Macaca fascicularis: one gene and its partner. The protein of the gene in region 1 interacts with the protein of each later gene in a pairwise test. Links are inferred from orthologs where the notes say so. Each region holds a gene or a part of one and is shown on either strand. Other genes may lie near its edges.

The links.
Region 2: the proteins of WIPF1 (region 1) and FASTK interact in binary tests that used the Homo sapiens proteins (3 or more experiments, as listed by UniProt). The two-hybrid records come from large-scale screens. The link is inferred for Macaca fascicularis from reciprocal best matches to the Homo sapiens genes WIPF1 and FASTK.

The regions. Positions count from the first base shown.
Region 1 is NC_088386.1:70,078,261-70,088,346, reverse strand, and holds part of WIPF1 (WAS/WASL-interacting protein family member 1), read left to right. Parts: intron 1-2,943; coding exon 2,944-3,156; intron 3,157-3,828; coding exon 3,829-3,942; intron 3,943-4,732; exon of another isoform or gene 4,733-4,795; intron 4,796-9,344; coding exon 9,345-9,400; 3' UTR 9,401-10,086. UniProt on the Homo sapiens protein: Plays a role in the reorganization of the actin cytoskeleton. Contributes with NCK1 and GRB2 in the recruitment and activation of WASL.
Region 2 is NC_088377.1:192,357,256-192,367,800, reverse strand, and holds the start of FASTK (fas-activated serine/threonine kinase), read left to right. Parts: upstream 1-6,701; 5' UTR 6,702-6,748; coding exon 6,749-6,830; exon of another isoform or gene 6,831-7,302; intron 7,303-7,585; coding exon 7,586-8,008; intron 8,009-8,479; coding exon 8,480-8,659; intron 8,660-8,798; coding exon 8,799-8,938; intron 8,939-9,413; coding exon 9,414-9,627; intron 9,628-9,725; coding exon 9,726-9,885; intron 9,886-10,102; coding exon 10,103-10,194; intron 10,195-10,268; coding exon 10,269-10,404; intron 10,405-10,477; coding exon 10,478-10,545. Other genes in the region: TMUB1 (transmembrane and ubiquitin-like domain-containing protein 1), read left to right, coding at 4,098-4,193, 4,928-5,346, 5,621-5,972. UniProt on the Homo sapiens protein: Phosphorylates the splicing regulator TIA1, thereby promoting the inclusion of FAS exon 6, which leads to an mRNA encoding a pro-apoptotic form of the receptor.

The DNA of each region.
Region 1 (10,086 bases):
CTTTCCAATGCGGTTGGAAAGGTTGAGAAACCTTGATCTGAGGGACAAACTTTCAGAGTATGAAAGAAAACGCAAGGATTGCCTAGAGTTTGCCCTCTCCGAATTATAATAGGCATTTTTAGTAGAGTACACTCACTTGATGCGTTTTACAGTGGTTATGGATGAACTCGGTAGAACCACCCACTTTTCAAATTTAATCTCATCATACAGACCTTATGTCTGGAAATGGGGCATTTTTTTCCTTTACGCAGAGATAAGAGACCTTTGACCCTGTGACCTCAGGAACCTCATAATCACCATTCTTTAAACTTGCTCACATACTGGAATCATCTACGGAGCTTTAAAAACCACGAATGCCTGGGTCCCTTCCCAGAGTCTCTGGTATAATTGGTCTGGGGTGCAGACTGGGAATCGGGATATTTAAAAGCTCCCTGGTGATTATAGTGTGCAGCAGAATGTGAGAACCACACCTTGAAACCATTGTGCCGTGGCCCTACCAAATGGATGAGTCAGCAGATTAAATCTTCCCCAAAATATGACAAGCATTGACATACAACATTTATTGTTTCTTTTGATTACGTAAGTCATACTTGTTTATTATCGAAATACTGAAAAATATAAAGAAAATTAAAATTATCTGTAATCCTTCTACCACCACCATCCAGAAATAGTCATTGATAACATTTTTTTATTGTGTCCTTTCAGTCTTTTTAAAATGCATATGTTTTTACAAACTTGGTATCACACTACATATATTGTTTGCTAATTTGCTTTTTATTTACTAGTATCTCATTAATGTTTAGTGATACGATTATTCTTCTACAGCCTGACTTTTAACAGCTACCTAATATTAAATCCTACAGATGTACCTTGATTTATTTAACCAATCCCCTCACCTGGTCATATGGGCCATCTCTAGATTTTTCCTGGTGCAGATAATGCAGTGATACATTTTTGTAGCAAAATATGTGTACACATCTCTGTATTTCCTTTGGATGAATTCCTATAAGTGGAATATCTAGGTTAGTGAGTGTGCATAGTAAACTACGGATTTCATAGGTACTGGCAAATTGCCTTCCAGAAATTTCCTACCAATTTACATTCCCACAAGGAGCATATGAGAGTTCATCAAAGGCCCTGTGTATTCTGAGTCATTTGGCTTCAGTGTTACGGGAGTGGGCCTTGGAATCTGACAGATTTGGAGTCAGATCCTGGCTCCTCCACTCAGTCTTCTGATGAGCTTTTTAAGCTTCCAAAACCTCTGAGGCCTTGTCTCCTGTCCCTGTACCTCTCAGAGTTGTAAGAATTAAACGAGACAAGCATGGATAGTGGTTATCTTATTTCCTGGCATGTAGTTATATTCAATAAATGATCATTTCTGTTATTCTGCCAGTGGGAAATAGAAATCTGTTTTCTTTTCTATTGTGCCTGTCAGGATTTGGAGCAGGGAGCCATGAGGTTGGAGAGTTAGGAACATGAACAGGACCATTTACTTTAAAAAGAAAAAGAGATGAAGTTATATAGTACAGGGCCCCATAATATTGAAAGTCGAGTTTGCATGTAGTGACAGTTGTGTGGTGGTATCACCAATGAAGTCAAACCCACAGCAAATGAGACATTTTTCCTCAATAAATCAACTCTTGCTGCCTGGGACTCCAGCAATGACAAGCAGATAGGGTAATAAATAACCACTCCCAGGTGAGGCACTGAAGACTCCTTGAGAGACCAATCAGGGCTGGACAGTGCCTCCCACCGCCATAAAATGTTGGAGCCAAGACTTTCTGTCAGGGATATCTGCAGTGGGCAGGTTGTTCAGGTTAAGGTTCCTAATTGGATTCTGAATCTATAGCTAATAAGATATTTATTTATAGCACCGTCAGATATTGTATTCACATAAAATGTCAGCATCTTACAAGTGGAACCCACTGCTGAAGATCAGGAATAATTACTAAGGCCATTTTGATTTACATTGGAAAATGCTCAAGTTTTTAGTTTTGTTTTTTTAGTTTACTTACTACTCAAATAGCCCCTGCATTTGGAGGATAGGAAAAGCAAGGTTTTCTTTTGTATTATCAAAAATAATTTACTTTGAATTTTTCTTTAGAAACTTAAAAACTTATGGTTATACCATACTGCTACATTTTTTAAAAATGGTTTCAAGTACTTACATAGTATTTTTTATTTGCATTTTCACTAGTTTTTCCTGGCAGCAGTGCTGTGAGACAGGTGACCATGTGGCACTCTTTTACAACTAGGAAACCAAGTTCCATAGGGTACCAGCTTGCTCAAGGTCAAGATTCACATTAGCATTTATAGCCATGGATGTTGATTAGCTGTTTGTCACTCCCTGTGTTCATCTGCCTCCCCAAAGAGGAAGAACCAAGAAGAAACTCCTACTGCTCTCAAGATGACTGGTATTTGGTTTCCTGATGCCACTTCTGCCTGGAAACAGATCATATGCATCACAGAAGCGTGCTTCTGTAATTAACAACAAAACTGCATTTAAAGAACCTCATTCTTCTCAAGACCTAAAATAATTTCATAACTATCTTATTCTTTTTTAAAAAATTATTTCATCATGTCACAGTAATTAGTTCAATAGCTCTTTAAAGGATTGTAAAATTTTTTTTAATTATATGGTTGTCAGTATAAACAGATTTTCACCTGTTTTCAGTTTCACTGTGCCATCTCCAATCTCAGTGCTAATTCAAAGCCAAAACACCCATTTAGCTATCAGTATGCACTTGTTTTGCATATACATGTGTACACATGCATTTTTTGTGTTTCTGTGTTTACTCATTTCTCAGCCAAATACCCTAGAAAATCTCCACCCTAATTAAAGGGCATGTGTCCAGCAGGTCCCCATCAGCTGTACACTAATGGTGACTACGGTGATGGAATATGGATATAAGGTTCTGCACTATGTGTCTTTTTTTGCTCCAGGCCCCCTCCCACCACCTCCTCCAATAAGCAGAAACGGCAGCACGTCTCGGGCCCTGCCTGCCACCCCTCAGTTGCCGTCCAGGAGTGGAGTAGACAGTCCAAGGAGTGGACCCAGGCCTCCCCTTCCTCCTGACAGGCCCAGTGCTGGGGCACCTCCCCCACCTCCACCATCAACATCTATTAGAAATGGCTTCCAAGACTCTCCATGTGAAGGTGAGGTATGGTCCGACTCCCTGGGCTATAGGGCAGCAACTAAATGGTAAATCTGTTTGTATATGTGGTTTGCTTGTTTGCGTTTAATTTCTTGTTCCATCATTATCACACTCCATTGCACTGATCTAACTAACCATTCTAAGGCCCACAGTGATTTCAAATTAAAATTAGTAATCCCCCTTCCCCACTTCCCAAAAAGGCAGATCATTTTTCCCTGATCTGTTCTTTGTTTGGGTCTCATTTTAGTTAACTTTCCAGAGATTCCAGGATTCTGAAAAGAATCTTTTAATAGCTTCTTCTTATGTACATTTCTAAACAGTTCACTGTAGGTAAGAGGCCCGATGGCCTGCACATGTTGAACTGCCTATCTCTGCCATTGTTATCAATGGGGAAAAAGGTGTCCTGTACCTTAGCCGCCAGCTCCTAAGAGGGACTGGCTGGATCCTAATCACTCTCATTAAAACCACTTTGCTTTGATTTGCAGGTCTGTATATACGTCAGTGTACTAATTTGTGACCTTTGCAGCACTTCCAGCTTTTCTGTAAACTTCTAGGCATAAAAACTAGCACTGATGTCTGTGGTTCTCTCTCTGTTTCATTCTGTGCCTTTCGTTACGTAAGTCTTCATAGCAGATTGTCTGTCACTGAAGATACTGCTTGTTTCTCTTCCCAGATGAGTGGGAAAGCAGATTCTACTTCCATCCAATTTCCGATTTGCCACCTCCAGAGCCATATGTACAAACGACCAAAAGTTATCCCAGCAAATTGGCAAGAAACGAAAGCCGGAGTGAGTATTTCTGCCAAGGTTTTTGAAGATTCATGCTTGAATAGCCTGAGTGACACTCGGGCTGTATAGAAAGTCCAGGCCTCTTGCCTGGAGTGGGGTAGAGAACCTTTTGGAGCCATCTACATTCTAGTAAATTCCCCTTCCACAGGCAGTGAGGAAATTGCAGATGCCCAGAATGCATATGAGAAACAGTTATTTTAATGTGTCATTACAAACTCAAAATACCGTGGTTTGCTAGTATTAAATTTTATTATTTTGCTTCTTTGGACGATCGTCCTCCGTTTTCATCTTCCTGAGACAGTACAAGTAGAGCCATCTTCTATTCCTTCTAGTTTGAAATTGGCATAATGTCTGATTAATTATAACAAAAACTCCCTGTAACTGCCTTGATCTTTCAAACATATGATAATCATAGCTTTACAGAGCATTACATGAAAATGTAAATATATCCAAAATCTCTCTACATAATAGATATTTTCATTTTACCAGATTCTCATCCAATTTTTTATCCATATAATTCTGATTTTTTATGTAGTTATAATGACAGTGTATAGTTTTGTGGCGGGGTTTACATAACATTGCTTAGTAAATAGTGCCCATGTTATCACATGGTTTTTATTTCAGCATATAGTAATTTACCATTACCATGGACATTTAAATTATTTCTGTTGTTCTGGTAATGTAGGTCATGCTACCATAAGGAAGTAAATTGCTTTTCCTCCATTGAAAAAGGGTGTCAACAAGAAGGGAAAATAGACAAACTGGAATTTTATAACATTAAATGTATAGGAAGTATTACAGCTCTTTCAGAATTTGTCTAGCAGGCTTTTCAGGGTTTTGCTGGAAAGCCTCTTAAATTTACTTTTAAAAAAACACAATAGCCAGGCACGGTGGCTCACGCTTGTAATACCAGCACTTTGGGAGGCTGAGGCAGGCAGATCATGAGGTCAGGAGTTCGAGACCAGCCTGACCAACATGGCGAAACCCCATCTCTACTAAAAATACAAAAATTAGCCGGGCATGGTGGCGTGCGCCTGTAATCCCAGCTACTCAGTTGCTGAGGCAGGAGAATCGCTTGAACCCGGGAGGTAGAGGTTGCAGTGAGCCGAGATCGCACCATTGCACTCCAGCCTGGGCAACAGAGCAAGACTTCGTCTCAAAAAAAAAACAACAGCAGCAACAATAAATATATACAATGAAGAATGAATTAGCATGAAATATGCGTATGTCACCCATGAGGCTGAGGTTCGTGGCAGCCTTAGCCTCAGAGCCAAATTCTCAAACCAGAAATAGAAAAAATATAACCTAATAAGTCAAATACGTCACAACACCCCTAGCCATGGCCTCACTCCCTAGCAGAGCTTCTTATACCTACTCAGAGCCTACTGATTGTTTTCTAACACCGTTTAAAGTAATTTTTGGTTGGTTGGTTCCAAACCTTATAGGAGATTAGTTAACAGCTAAAGTTAAGACTAGTGAGAAGCAAAATCACTGACATGGGAGAGAAGTGACAGATGGCAGTCCCAGGTCAGAGGAGGAGACAGGAACATGGCTGTGCTGTGTGTTACAGCGCAGGACAACACCAGATGTTTCTGTTGGGTTAAATTTCTATTGGGTTAAATGGGATTAAATTAATTGAGTTAACCTGTGCTTTGTGCCTCTGTAGAAAAATTTAAAGAGTTAGAAAATATAGGAAATTTTCCATGGACAAATGCTAGAAGAAAACAGAATACTACTGCTTAAAAGGAAAACTTTAATTCCTGGAAAAATTTGTTTATGTGGAAGACTGCATTCATAGACAATACCTAATGAAGAGGTATAGCTGTAATAAAATCATTATACAAGAGTTGATGATTGAAATTTTTAGTGAAGACCAGGCACAGTGGCTCACGCCTGTAATCCCAGCACTTTGGGAGGCCAAGATGGGCAGATCACTTGAGGTCCGGAGTTCGAGACCAGCTTGACCAACATGGAGAAAACCTGTATCTACTAAAAATACAAAATTACCTGGGCATAGCGGCACATGCCTGTAATCCTAGCTACTCAGAAGGCTGAGGCAGGAGAATTCCTTGAACCCAGGAGGCGGAGGTTGCAGTGAGCAGAATTCACACCATTGCACTCCAGCCTGGGCAAGAAGAGCGAAACTCCATCTCAAAAAAAAAAAAGAAAAGAAAAGAAAAATGTTTAGTGGAAAGTAAGTTGGCCGGGCACGGTGGCTCACGCCTGTAATCCCAGCACTTTGGAAGGCCGAGGCGGGCGGATCACAAGGTCAGGAGATCGAGACCATGGTGAAACCCCGTCTCTACTAAAAATAGAAAAAAATTAGCCGGGCGCAGTGGCGGGCGCCTGTAGTCCCAGCTACTCGGGAGGCTGAGCCAGGAGAATGGCGGGAACCCAGGAGGTGGAGCTTGCAGTGAGCCGAGATTGCGCCACTGCACTCCAGCCTGGGTGACAGAGCGAGACTCCGTCTCAAAAAAAAAAAAAGTAAGTTTTCACATGGGACAGGTATCTTTGAATGCTCTCTGTGTGTGTGTGTGTGTGTGTGTACGTGTTCACCAGAAGAAGGGCTTCTGTTTGATAAGAGTACAACCCTTCTTCCTTCTTGGGCACCAATAAACGAATTGACTTTAAGGAGTTGTTCATATAGACTCTAAATATTTTTTCTGACTTACTATTTTCCTCTTATTCTAAATATTATTTGTGTTTTTAAATTGGTAACAGACCATCTTCCCTGTACCCTCTAGATTTTTAATGTAATAGCTAAGCCTATTTCTTCTCCCATCCTCCTTTAAGACTCAAGTAGGCAGTGTAAGGACTAGAACTGTGTCCTGCTCACTGTTGCATCTTCCTTGAGGGGCACAGAGCCTGAAACATAAAGGGCATTTTCAAGCATTTCTTTTTAAAAATGTTCTTATAGAGACAGGATATCTCTGTGTCACCCAGGCTGGTCTTGAGCTTCTGGCCTCAAGTAGTCCCCTGCCTTAACCTCCCAAAGCACTGGATTATAGGCATGAGCTACCACACCTAGCCTAAAAGTAGTTTTTAAATTGGTGAATTAATTTCCGCCGTCTACCAAAATTTTTTTGTACATTTGCCTTAAATATTTCCAGCATTAGGCATGTTTAATATTTTATAATGATAATGTATCATCTAACAAAAATAAATAAGGCACTGTCGAGTACCAAGTTTTCCTCTGCTCTGCAGCAACCTCAGCCTCCCAGCCCACAGCCTGAGAGCACACCCAGACAGCCCTGAGCAGTACCGAATGCACTTGGAGTGTATTCTAATTACAGCTTTGGACTAGGCCAGCCCTCATTCTACTAACCACTTGTGGCGGGTCAGTTGATGGTCAGGGCTCCATGATAGGTGTCTGGTTTACATCCAGATGAGTCTTTTCTCAGATGCCTGCCCAAGAAAATATTTGGTTGGGATGGTAAGAGGAAGAGGCGCCTCTTTCAGTGTTTTCTCCTAACTCCTTTCCTTGCTCAGAAATTTGGTTCTTTCTCAGAAATCCCTAAGTGGACTAGTAGGGTCCCTATCAAGATCCCTACTGAGGAATCTGCCAGTTCCAGCCCACTGAGTCTCAAGAGTAGTGGTTAGAGCAGACCTACCTGATTGACACGTGCACCGGGTGGACCTGTTCACAGCATCTGAGCACCTGACCTCATGCCGAACACCTGTTAAATTCTCAACAAGGCTGGGTGCGGTGGCTCAAGCCTGTAATCCCAGCACTTTGGGAGGCCGAGACGGGTGGATAACGAGGTCAGGAGATCGAGACCATCCTGGCTAACACAATGAAACCCCCGACTCTACTAAAAAATACAAAAAAAAAACTAGCCGGGCGAGGTGGCGGGCACCTGTAGTCCCAGCTACTTGGGAGGCTGAGGCAGGAGAATGGCATGAATCCGGGAGGCGAAGCTTGCAGTGAACTGAGATCCGGCCACTGCACTCCAGCCTGGGTGACAGAGCAAGACTCCGTCTCAAAAAAAAAAAAAAAAAAAAAATTTCTCAACAAATGTTTGTGTAGTAAATGAATTTTTTTTATGTGAATGGGTTTTAAGCCTAGTTACAGTGGACTGATAGCCCATGAATAGCTTGGTTTTTGGTTTTGTTTTGTTTTTGAGACAGGGTCTCACTCTGTCACCCAGGCTGGAGTACAGCGGCACAATCTTGGCTCATTGCAGCCTTGACCTCCCAGGTTCAAGTGATCCTCCCACCACAGCCTCCTGGGTAGCTGGGACTATGGGAGAGGCACGCACCAACCTGCCTGGCTAATTTTTTGGAGACGGGGTTTTGCTATGTTGCCCAGGCTGGTCTCGAACTCCTGAGCTCAAACCATTCTCCCTCCTCAGCCTCCCAAAGTGCTGGGGATACAGGTGTGAGCCACCGCAACAGGGCCATAAATAACTTTTAAAAGAACACATTGATAGAGCACTTGAAAAGATGCTCAACATCACTGATTTTTAGGGAACTGCAAATAAAACTATAGTGAGATACAACTTTACACCCATTAGGATGGCTACTGTCAGAAAAGCTTTCTCTTTTTTTTTTTTTTTTTTTTTTTTTTGAGACAGAGTCTCGCTCTGTAGCCCGGGCTGGAGTGCAGTGGCCGGATCTCAGCTCACTGCAAGCTCCGCCTCCCAGGTTTACGCCATTCTCCTGCCTCAGCCTCCCGAGTAGCTGGGACTACAGGCGCCTGCCACCTCGCCCGGCTAGTTTTTTGTATTTTTTAGTAGAGACGGGGTTTCACGGTGTTCGCCAGGATGGTCTCGATCTCCTGACCTTGTGATCCACCCGTCTCGGCCTCCCAAAGTGCTGGGATTACAGGCTTGAGCCACCGCGCCCGGCCAAGCTTTCTCATTTTTAATTAGAAGATACCTAAATGCCCAACAAAAGGGAATTGACTAGGTAGACTGTAGTGTACTCATATTTTGGAATACAGTCTGTCATTAATAATCTTTGCAAAGAGTAATGCCTTTGAAAGATGTTCAAACTGATTACATGATCTTATTTCTGGAAGAAAACGGGGAACTGTTCCTAAATAAAAAATATACACGTAATTGGTTATCTCTGGGTGCTGGAGGAATGGGTGAGTTCTTTGTTTTTACTCATCCATATTTTCTAAATCTATAATAAACACACACTGTGATAAGAAGAAAATGATTTTTTTAACTTTGTACAAGTACTTGGGAGCCAGTGGTGGATCATCCACCATGATGTTTATTCAGAACATTACTTGCTTCTTTTCACCTCTCACTTCTCATCCACAACATATGCCAGTTAGCTGACAGCCCTGGTCATAGGGATGAGGTAGTTGGTACCCGTGCAACCATCCCCGAGTTTCCACAATGAGAACATCAGCTTTCTAACCAAAATTATATTTTGTCTGTTTTTTCACCAAGGTGGATCCAACCGAAGAGAAAGGGGTGCCCCACCACTCCCTCCCATCCCGAGGTGATCTTTGCCTGCTCTTCTCTACCCAAGCTCAAGAGCTGCTTCTGTTGCTAAGAACTGCACACCCTCCTCCCCGCTTCTTCCCTTGTGCCCCATGTATGGGCAGGAGGAAAGATGGGAGGGTGAGTGGGAATATGCGTGTGTGCGTGGGAATCGGTAAGAAATGCACCTAGCTTTTCATATTGTTTATTCTCCAGGCTATTGCTTGCTTCAGCTGCAACCGGGGTCGATAGGCTTTTGTGGTAATAGGCAGAGATGAATTGCATCCCAGCTTTCCACCAACCAAATCCAAACATTCACTGCTTATTTGCCACAGACTGTAATTATTAAAGTCCCTGAGAGCTGTTTTCTCCCATTCCTTTTTCGCATGCTTGGCCTCCTGTCTGTTTCCATGAACCACAGACCACCTAAGCAAGCTGCTGAGTAAGGGCTCACAGGAAACTTTTGCAGTCACAGGATGTCCAATCTTTGGCAGTCCGAGCTCAGCTCCAGGACAGAGCTGTCCAATAGAAATATAATGTGAGCCCCATATACAACTTCAACATTTCTAGTATATTTTCAACAAGTGAAGTTAATATGCATCCAAAGTATTTCAACCTGTAATCAACATAAACTTTTAATGAGATATTTTATATTATCTTTTGGTACCGAATCTTCAGAATCCAGAGTGTATTTTACATTTACTGGTAG
Region 2 (10,545 bases), on another chromosome or scaffold:
TGCCGCGCCCACCTTCCCCGGCCAGGCCTGGATAGATCTGGTCCTGGCCCCCCGAAGCGACACCACCTTCGCGCCCTGGAGCACAGTGAGCAGAAAACCCCCAACCCCAAAGTGTCCCCGAACGAGATATGGCGAAGCTGCCCGCCGGTTCTGCAGCACAGATCGGCAAACCTCGTGGCCTGGACCTCAAGCGCGCAAGGACCCCCGACAGGGAGAGCATGGCCAGGACCGGCCCGTGGAGCCCTCGACCGGAGCCGGAGAGGCCACCGCGCCCCTGCTCCCGCAGCCCCCGGCTTCGCTCACCCTCGATGGAGATGACGTGCTCGCGGATCTGGTTCTGCAGCGCCAAATCCTCGATGCGCTCGATCAGGTCGTAGATGGCGTAGATATTGGGATGCACGGACTCGAAGCGCTGGATCTCGGCCCGGATGGCCGCGGAGTTGGAGAGCGCGAACTGCTGGGGGGGCCCGCCGGCCAGCTGCTGCGAGGGGACGCCGCCGCCCCCGGCCCCGGGCCCCGCGCCGCCGAACTGCCCGCCGCCCCCCGCGCTGCCGCCGCCGCCGCCGCCGCCGCCCCCCGGAGCCGCCAGGCTCTGCTGCTGCTGCGGGCTCTGCCCCCCGCCCGCCTGGAAGTTCATGGCTTCGGAGCCGTGGGGCCTGAGGCGGGCCCGGGGCGGCGCGGCGGAGGCGGCGGCGGCGAGCGGGCGCGCGGGGCTGGCGGGGCCGGGATTACTGGGCTGGTGGCGCGGGGCTAGCGCATGGAGCCGGGGGCCGGGGGCCGGAGGCCGAGGCCAGGAGGCGCCGCCGCGCACGCTGTGGCCGCCGCTGCCGAGCGCTTCCCGGCGCCGTGATCCCGCTGCCTCGGAGCAGCCTCCAGCGGCAACAACAACGGGACCGGGAGCGCGCGGCCCGGGCCCTCCCCCCGCGTCATGCGCACGCACCGCCGCCCCCGCCGGCTCCGGCACACGCAGCCCGAGCCCCCCTCCCCGCCGCCCCCGCCCCTCCTGCGCGCCGGCCCGGGCGCCCCCGCCCCTCGCTCGCTAGCTGACTCTTCAGCCTCCACCCCCGAGCCGCGCGCTCCAGCCCAGGCGCCCGGGCCCCTCCCACTCAGCTTCGGCCCTTCCGCCTCCTCACCAGCCCCCACCCGCATTGCCTCGAGGGCCACCCTCTCCGAGGGGACAGCTGCCCTGGTCTCCTCCCGCGCCCGGCTGTCGCTTTCGCCTCCCTGCGCTGATCTGGGCCGGGTGTCCGATCTCTAGGCAATGCCCAAACAGTGCCCTGCGCCTGAGGGTGCTGCTGACCGAGGCTGATTGGTCGAGGAGCCCGCCCAGGCCCAGCCGCTCCTCGCTTACAGCGTCCCGCCTTCAGTGCGGCATAGGCTCCCCTGTCCCCAGGCTCCGAGGTCAGCCCTAGAGACCACCCGGCTGCCAGAGTTTTCTCCCTGGCTCCCTGCCCAGTCTCTCCACTGCCGGCTGCAGCTCAAGAGGCTGGGATGGGTTCTGGGCTGCTATTTCCAGTTCTCCCTGAGCGCTTCATCATCGGCACGCCCCTGGAAATGACACTTTGAACAAACTCGTCTCTACTCTTACCTTCTCGTGATCGGCCTCTCCTAAAAGACCGTCCCCCTGCTGGACTTGGGAGATTAGCTAAATGCTACCCGACCCCATTGGTACACAGAGGAAGAAGAGGGAGGGATGAAATATATGCCTTTCTCCCCTACTCATCCCATTGGAGAGACCAACCAAAGCCCACGTGGCTCTCAATTTTTCTTGTCCTCACCCCTTGTCCATCCTGTCCTTTCACTCCCTCTAGGGTCAGGTAGCTCCCTGCAATGTCCTCTGCAGTGCCATTGCCAAAGTGGGCTGCAGTTGTTAGCCGCCCCCCCCCCACCCACCCCAAGACACACACACTCACACACACACACACACACAGGTTTCCTAAAACCTACAAGAGGTGACATTTGCAGAGCAGTGGCCCCAGCCAATAAATCTCCCAGAGATGTTGCAGGGTATCTGCTACCCCCAGATATCCTCGGGCATCACTGACACACATCGTCCTTTTTACACACACTTCCACTTCCCCGGCCAAGCTGGATCTTTTCCCAGCATGAAGCTGTCCACCATTTGATTACCCACACAACTCAGCCCCAGTACCAACCCAGTCACTATTCCTGAGTTCCTTGTACCTTCCAAAGCACCTGGTGCAAGCTAATCAACACATAGGGTCTCCTAAGCTCCTGAGGAATCTGTGTCTGTGTTTCTATCTCCCTGCATAACCTTAAGGATATCTTGTGCCCTCTCTGGGTTTCATCTGCAAAATATAGTGGTTGAACAGAAAACCTAGTTCTGATGTATAATTCTAAAAGTAACATCCAACATCTCTTTTAGATGCTTAATTAGAATTGACAGCAGGAAGTAGCACCAGGTATACCTCCCAAAAGAGATACTAAGAGCAAAGAGCTCCTCAAATGTGTTGCCCCAGCAACTAGCACACACCTGTTATAGCTCTGATGGGCTGTTCACACGACTAGCTCCTCTACTAGTATATGGAGCCACATGAGGGCAGGAAGATGGTCTGATTCACCATTTTATTCCCAGTATCTTGCACAATGCCTGGCAAATAGTGTGTGTGCATATATATATATATATATATATATATATATATATATGCATATATATATTTCAAGACAGAGTCTCACTCTGTTGCCCAGGTTGGAGTGCAGTGGCTCGATCTCAGCTCACTGCAACCTCCACCTCCCACGTTCAAGTGATTCTCCTGCCTCAGCCTCCTGAGTAGCTGGAATTACAGGCACCCTCCACCACATCCAACTAATTTTTGTATTTTTTTTTTTTTAGTAGAGATGGGCTTTTACCATGTTGGCCAGGCTGGTCTCGAACTCCTGACCTCAGTGATCCACCTACCTCGGTCTCCCAAAGTGCCAGGATTACAGACATAAGCCACCGCGCCTGGCCATAGTATATCTTTTAAAAATATGTTAGTAGAATAAATGAATGAACAGGAGGGATGGAACTAGATAGGTTAGTTCTGTATGGTATCAATCTAGACTGACATTCCTAAGGCAATATTTGGGCCACTTGCTCCCACAGTAGGCAAGAACTATGGGAAAACTAGGATAGATTATTTTAAATCAAGACTGGCCTGTAAAAACCAGGATGTGAGATCTCTGTGGCTACAGGAGCCCAGAGGGAAAAATCCACAGATATCCACAGGCCTGGGATTCAATGTCATCCACACAGTAACACACCAGGATCCGATTCCAGAGACCAGCTTTGAGCGGAGGTGAGCAAATAGCTACTGTGTGACATGTACCTTAGTTTTCACACTTTTAAATAAAACATCTAATTTCTTCCTTATGATTGACTTACGACGTATGTTTCAGAAAGGAAGAAATTAATCTTTAGAGAGATTCAATAACCCACCCAAGGTCATATAGCTGAGAAGCACAGGATAAGGGATCAGGATTTGTGCCAGGTTCCAAGGTCTATGCTTCTTCCACAGTCCTGAAAGAGCAAGGTGGAGGAGGGGACCAAGGAAAGGGGCAGCCCTGAGGATGGGTATCCCTGGCCAGCCTAGTGGGACAGCCCATGGATATTGGGCTCTGGGCTGAAGAATTAATTTTGGTGGCCAAAGTGCCTTCTGGCGTCCACTCTGACATAAGGGTAGGGGCCACCTGAGTTCCTCAGAGCCTTCCTCACTGCATCACGAACACGGGTGTTCTGACGTGCTTCAGCTGACGTCGGTGTCTGGTGTGACAGATGCTCTGGCTGTTGGCGGGGGAGGGGGCGGACCCTGCTGCCGCCCAAACCTCTAGCCGGTAGCGCAACCCCCCAAAGCCGTCCCCACCGACCCCTCCGCGATCTGCTGGAGCAGAGAACCGCGGGTGGAGCCCAGCACGTGGGTCCGCAGGGCGGAGGGCGGAGACAGAGCGGCGCCGGACTACAAGTCCCACAATGCCCCGGGCCGCGGCGGCGAGGAAGGAGGGGTGCTTCAGGTGCCTGCGACCTCCGCGCCTCCCGCCCGGAAGTGTCCGAGGGGCCGCGATGGAGCTGGGGCAGCCGGGCGGTGAGTCCCCGCGCCATGACCGCGCCCACCCCGCCGCCCAGGGCCCCGGCCGGGCCCCGCCCGCCCTGCCCTGGATCGCCGTGCCCTCCTGCGGCTCCGGGGGGCGGGAAGGTGGGAGGGGTGATGAGGGGTGGGGGTAGGGAACGTGAAGTCTCGGATTCCGGGCGGGATCTGGGGTCTGGCAGCCCGCGGGGCTTGGAGACACTTCCAGAGAAGGCGTGGAGTTGGGCCTCCGCGGAGTGGGGTTGAGGGGACCGAGCTGGGTGGGTGGTGACGCTCGGAGGCTCCAGATTGCCCAGGGGCGGAGTTTGACGTTTGCTGTGGGGGAAGCCTGGGAAGCAGTCCTGTGCCGCGGGTGGGGTTTAGGTGAACCGTAATGCGGGGGGCGGGGGGTGGGGGCACAGAGGCTCTACCCCCACCTCGGAGAAACTTTAGCAACGGAGTAGATGAGCATGGGGTGAAGTCGGTGAAGGAGTAGACACACTGGGGTGAAGTGGGCAGGAGAATAGATACGCATGGGCGTGAAGTTTGGCTGGGGTGAAGTTTAGGGGAGGCGTTGCTTAGGCCCTTACCTTGGGATAGGGTTTGGGTGAGTTGGGAGCTGGTTGAAGACCTCGAGCTCAGATGACAGAAAGTTAGGACTTGGGATTCGGCGATGGGAAGGGGCACCCGGAGGCAAGTTTGGGGCGACTGGGAGGCAAAGCAGCCCGTACCCTGGGGTGGGTGAGGGAACCCAGGCTGAGGACGGTGGGAGCGTCGCGGTGGGGTGGGGGCAGGACCCTGTGGAGGTTCCAGGGCTCCTGGTCAGAGGGCCCGCGCCTCACGGGCTCTTTGTGCCTCTCCAGCTCGGTAGCGCGGCGGGCAAGGCAGGCGCCATGACCCTGATTGAAGGGGTGGGTGATGAGGTGACCGTCCTTTTCTCGGTGCTTGCCTGCCTTCTGGTGCTGGCCCTCGCCTGGGTCTCAACGCACACCGCTGAGGGCGGGGACCCACTGCCCCAGCCGTCAGGGACCCCAACGCCATCCCAGCCCAGCGCAGCCATGGCAGCTACCGACACCATGAGAGCGGAGGTCCCAGGGGCAGAGACCCCCAGCCTGAGACACAGAGGTCAAGCTGCACAGCCAGAGCCCAGCACGGGGGTCACAGCAACACCACCAGCCCCGGACTCCCCGCAGGAGCCCCTCGTGCTACGGCTGAAATTCCTCAATGATTCAGAGCAGGTGGCCAGGGCCTGGCCCCACGACACCATTGGCTCCTTGAAAAGGTACGTAGGTCAAGAGGCAGGAGCAATGCTGAAGACAGGGGTGGGGGGAGTGGTCACAGAAGGCCCCAGGAGAGACCTAAGACCCAGCCCTCCTTTATACTGGAGGCGCTGAGCGCCCCAGATCACAACTGCACTTGTTCCCTTGGCAGTCTGCCCCTCCCAGGCCAGGGCCGGTGTGTTGTGGAGGGCAGGGGAAGGGTGGGAGTGTTGTTCCGGGGCCAGGGACTAGGATTGCCTGAGGCCTGCTCTCTTACCCAGGTCCCTCTCTCCTCAGGACCCAGTTTCCTGGCCGGGAACAGCAGGTGCGACTCATCTACCAAGGGCAGCTGCTAGGCGACGACACCCAGACCCTGGGCAGCCTTCACCTCCCTCCCAACTGCGTTCTCCACTGCCACGTGTCCACGAGGGTCGGCCCCCCAAATCCCCCCTGCCCGCCGGGGTCCGAGCCCGGCCCCTCCGGGCTGGAAATCGGCAGCCTGCTGCTGCCCCTGCTGCTCCTGCTGCTGCTGCTGCTCTGGTACTGCCAGATCCAGTACCGGCCCTTCTTTCCCCTGACCGCCACTCTGGGCCTGGCCGGCTTCACCCTGCTCCTCAGTCTCCTGGCCTTCGCCATGTACCGCCCGTAGTGCCTCCGCGGGCGTTTGGCAGCGTCGCCGGCCCCTCTGGACCTTGCTCCCCGCGCCGCAGCGGGAGCTGCTGCCTGCCCAGGCCCGTCTCTCCGGCCTGCCTCTTCCCGCTGCCCTGGAGCCCAGCCCTGCGCCGCAGAAGACTCCAGGGGCTGGCAGAGGCCCCGCCCTGCGACCACCGGGGCTCGGGGCCACCTCCCGGGGCTGCTGGCCCTCAGTCCGCACTGGGAGTGGGCTCCTCGGGGTCGGGCATCTGCTGTCGCTGCCTCGGCCCCGGGCAGAGCCCGGCCGCCCCCGGGGCCCGTCTTAGCGTTCTGCCGGAGGACCCAGCCGCCTCCAATCCCTGACAGCTCCTTGGCCTGAGTTGGGGACGCCAGGACGGTGGGAGGCAGGTGAAGGGGAGGGGCATAGGAGTTCCCCGGAACTTGTGCAGATTAAAGTAACTGTGAAGTTTTCACTCTTGCAGTGTGTCTGAGTGTGTGCGGGATGGCGGGCGGGGACTCCTCGCCCCTTGGGAGAGAAGGGCACGGACGGCGCCCTCGGCTCTGGCCCACCGCTTTCCCTTCTCCCCTGCCTTCTGCTCTGGCTTTGGCGCCGGCCTCCGTGGCCCCGCCCCCGGTGCCGCGCGCGCACTTCCCGCGGGCGGAGCTCACGGCTCCCTGGCTCGCAGTGCCTGCCGGGAGCCACGTCTCCGCTGGTCGATAGCTGTTTCGGGATTGGTGTCCGGGCGGCTATCTGGGGGCTGCTGGGAAGATGGCGGACTCGGTGGCCAGCCGATGAGGAGGCCGCGGGGGGAACCCGGCCCCCGGGCCCCGAGACCGACTGAGGGAGCGACCTGCGCAGGGCCCGGGGAGTCATGTAGGGGTGGCGCCTGCGGGGAGGGCTGTGGGAGGGCAGCGGGAGCTGGTGTTAGCGGCAGCGGCCACGGTCTCCTGGCGTCCCTGGGTCGGGGTGGGTGTGGGGGCCCCCGACTTCGCCGACCCCACGCCATCGCAAAGCGGTGCACTCGGGCTCCACGCGCGCCCTGCGAGGTGGGCGTTGCGATTTCATTTCACGGGTGAGGAGACTTAGACGAAGCCACTTGTCCAAGGTCACGCCGCTGGTGAGTGGGAGCGCCCAGCATGGAACCCAGCGCCGTCCAGCCGCGGAGCCCGCGTTCCACCCTCTGTGCCGCCGCCGCCTCCTGCGGGAGAGGGAGGTGGTCGGGAGAGTGCACGCCGGTGCCGCCTGGGCTCCAGACTGGGCGCGACCACTAACCCGGTTAATGACCTCAGGCTTAACTTAACCCCTTAGCTGCTCTGGGCCTGCGTTTCTCCACCGGTGAAATGAGGTAATGCCAGCCCTGCCTACTCTTCACGGGCGTGTAAGGAGCATCAGAGATGGTGCATGTGGAATTGCTTTGCAAGTAGTGCCCTGAGCGCACTGAGGATTATGATTGCTGTTTCAAAGGCGTGGAAGGAGGCAGAGGGGCGGGGTGGGGAAGAGGCCCAGAGCAGTCACAAAGGGTTGCTCTGACCACAGGCCCCCTAAATGAGGAGTGAGGTAAGGAGTAGGTAGCAGGTCTTTCTCCCCTTTGGAGAAAACCTCACCCCCTTTTTTGGGCTGCCCCTCAGGGTCTCCATCACCCAACTCCATGCTTCGAATCCTGCTCTCTGCTCAGACCTCCCCTGCTCGGCTGTCTGGCCTGCTGCTGATCCCTCCAGTACAGCCCTGCTGTTTGGGGCTCAGCAAATGGGCGGACCGGCCTCTTGGAGGAGGCCCCAGTGCGGGTCCTGTGCAAGGACTGCAGCGGCTTCTGGAACAGGCAAAGAGCCCTGGGGAGCTGCTGCGCTGGCTGGGCCAGAACCCCACCAAAGTGCGCGTCCACCACTACTCGGTGGCGCTTCGTCGTCTGGGCCAGCTCTTGGGGTCTCGGCCACGGCCCCCTCCTGTGGAGCAGGCCACACTGCAGGACTTGAGTCAGCTCATCATCCGAAACTGCCCCTCCTTTGACATTCACACCATCCACGTGTGTCTGCACCTTGCAGTCTTACTTGGTGAGGAGGGGCTTGAGGTGGGCGCCTGGGGGGCTGGGTGTTAATGAAGAATAGGGAGAACAGTAGAGGACAACGGACGGAGACCCAGCCTCTCAGGTGTTTGCCCAGGAATGGTTGCTCCTGCTCCCGTCCTATGTCTGCAGCAGACATCATGAGAAAAACGCACTCCTTCCAGCCTCGCTAGGGTGCCACCTCAGATTCCTGCTAATAGAGTGCCCTAGGAAGCCACCATAATTTGTCACAATTGGTACAAGATGAAAGCCTATTTGCCATCTTTGTATGTACTCCCCACAGACCATTTTGATACCTCATAGCCACGTGATACTTTACATTTCTTTAGTGTTTGCACTTAAACTCTAGCACACCTTGCTCAGGAAACAGAGAGGTGAAAGGTGGGGAATTCAAGTAACCCCATGATTGGAGCAGCAGCACAGCTCTGTTACCAGGCTGCCTTTTACCTCTCCCCCTCAGGCTTTCCGTCTGATGGTCCCCTGGTGTGTGCCCTGGAACAGGAGCGAAGGCTCCGCCTCCCTCCGAAGCCACCTCCCCCTTTGCAGCCCCTTCTCCGAGGTGGGCAAGGGTTGGAAGCTGCTCTAAGCTGTCCCCGTTTTCTGCGGTATCCACGGCAGCATCTGATCAGCAGCCTGGCAGGTGCTGGAGGGGGTTAAAGTCAGACGGGGTTGGGAGGGTTGACAGGAGGAGGAAGGTGGTCTCAGTTGGCTGGGCTGAGGTGGAATTGAGCCAGCTGGAGGTCCAGCCGAGGCCCAGCATGACAGGCTGTTCTTCACAGAGGCAAGGCCAGAGGAACTGACTCCCCATGTGATGGTGCTCCTGGCCCAGCACCTGGCCCGGCACCGGTTACGGGAGCCCCAGCTTCTGGAAGCCATTGCCCACTTCCTGGTGGTTCAGGAAACCCAGCTCAGCAGCAAGGTGGGCTTACCACCTACCCTCCAGTGCATCTCTCAGTCATTCTCAGGGACCTCGTCAGGCCCAGCACCCTGTGCAGCTCAGCTATCCTTTTCCTGAAGCAGACACACCCTCTCTGTCCCCTGGGACCTGCATCTTTTCCTACACCCTCTCTGTGACTTGCCCACCTCCTGTCACCAGCATGCATTCCTGGAACTCTGCAGTTTCCCAAAGCACTCTTAGCACCATCCTAGCTCCACCCATCCCTCTCCTTGAAGTCTTCAGGGCCAAACCCCACAGTGATGTCCCCTCTGCCTGTCTGGTGATTAGTCACGTGCAGCTTGTGACTGCTTTGCTGTTGAACTGTGAGGCTGTAGGGACTGTCCTGTCTTTACAGCAGTGTTACAAACTTGAGGGCTAAGCCTCTCTAAGGCTTAGCTTGTAAAAAATGACTGCAGCAATACTTCACACTGGGTAATGAACTGCTCTTCCTTCACAGGTGGTACAGAAGTTGGTTCTGCCCTTTGGGCGGCTGAACTACCTGCCCCTGGAACAGCAGTTTATGCCCTGCCTTGAGAGGATCCTGGCTCGGGAAGCAGGGGTGGCACCCCTGGCTACAGTCAACATCTTGATGTCACTGTGCCAACTGCGGTGCCTGCCCTTCAGAGCCCTGCACTTTGTTTTTTCCCCTGGCTTCATCAACTACATCAGTGGTACGCAGCCAGGATGGCCGGCTGGGCCCCTGAGGGCTGGAGAGGCAGGGGAACAGGGTGGCCTGCAGCCCGGAGCCCCAGTCCCCGCCTCCCCACAGGCACCCCTCATGCTCTGATTGTGCGTCGCTACCTCTCCCTGCTGGACACAGCCGTGGAGCTGGAGCTCCCAGGATACCGGGGTCCCCGCCTTCCCCGAAGGCAGCAAGTGCCCATCTTTCCCCAGCCTCTCATCACTGACCGTGCCCGCTGCAAGTACAGGTGGATGGGGCAGCCTGGGGTAAGGGGAGGGGCCAGCCTGGGAGCAGCAGAGTGGAAAAGCCAGAGGGACCATGAAGCCAAAGCTAAGGAGCTCTCGGCCACCATAAAACTGGGCCCTGAAGCAGCAGAGGGCTTTACCCAGGGTGGTGGCACTAGACCGGGACAGACTAGGATGAGGGGCCGGGCCCTTCCTGCTACTGGTGTCCTTTCTCCTCAGTCACAAGGACATAGTAGCTGAGGGGTTGCGCCAGCTGCTGGGGGAGGAGAAATACCGCCAGGACCTGACTGTGCCTCCAGGCTACTGCACAGGTGAGCGAGGGGCAGGTGGCAGGCCCATGGAGACAGAGCTCTGGCTAAGGCCTCCGACCCTGCTCCCCCTCCAGACTTCCTGCTGTGCGTCGGCAGCTCTGGTGCTGTGCTTCCCGTGAGGACCCAGGACCCCTTCCTGCCATACCCACCAAGGTCCTGCCTACAGGGCCAGGCTGCCTCTAGCCCCACTACTCGAGACCCTGCTCAGAGGTAACGGAGGCAGGGTGGGGGAACTCTGGCCACCTTGCCTGCCATGCCCTGAGTCACGTCCCTCCCCCTGCAGGGTGGTGCTGGTGTTGCGGGAACGCTGGCATTTCTGCCGGGATGGCAGGGTGCTGCTGGGCTCGAGGG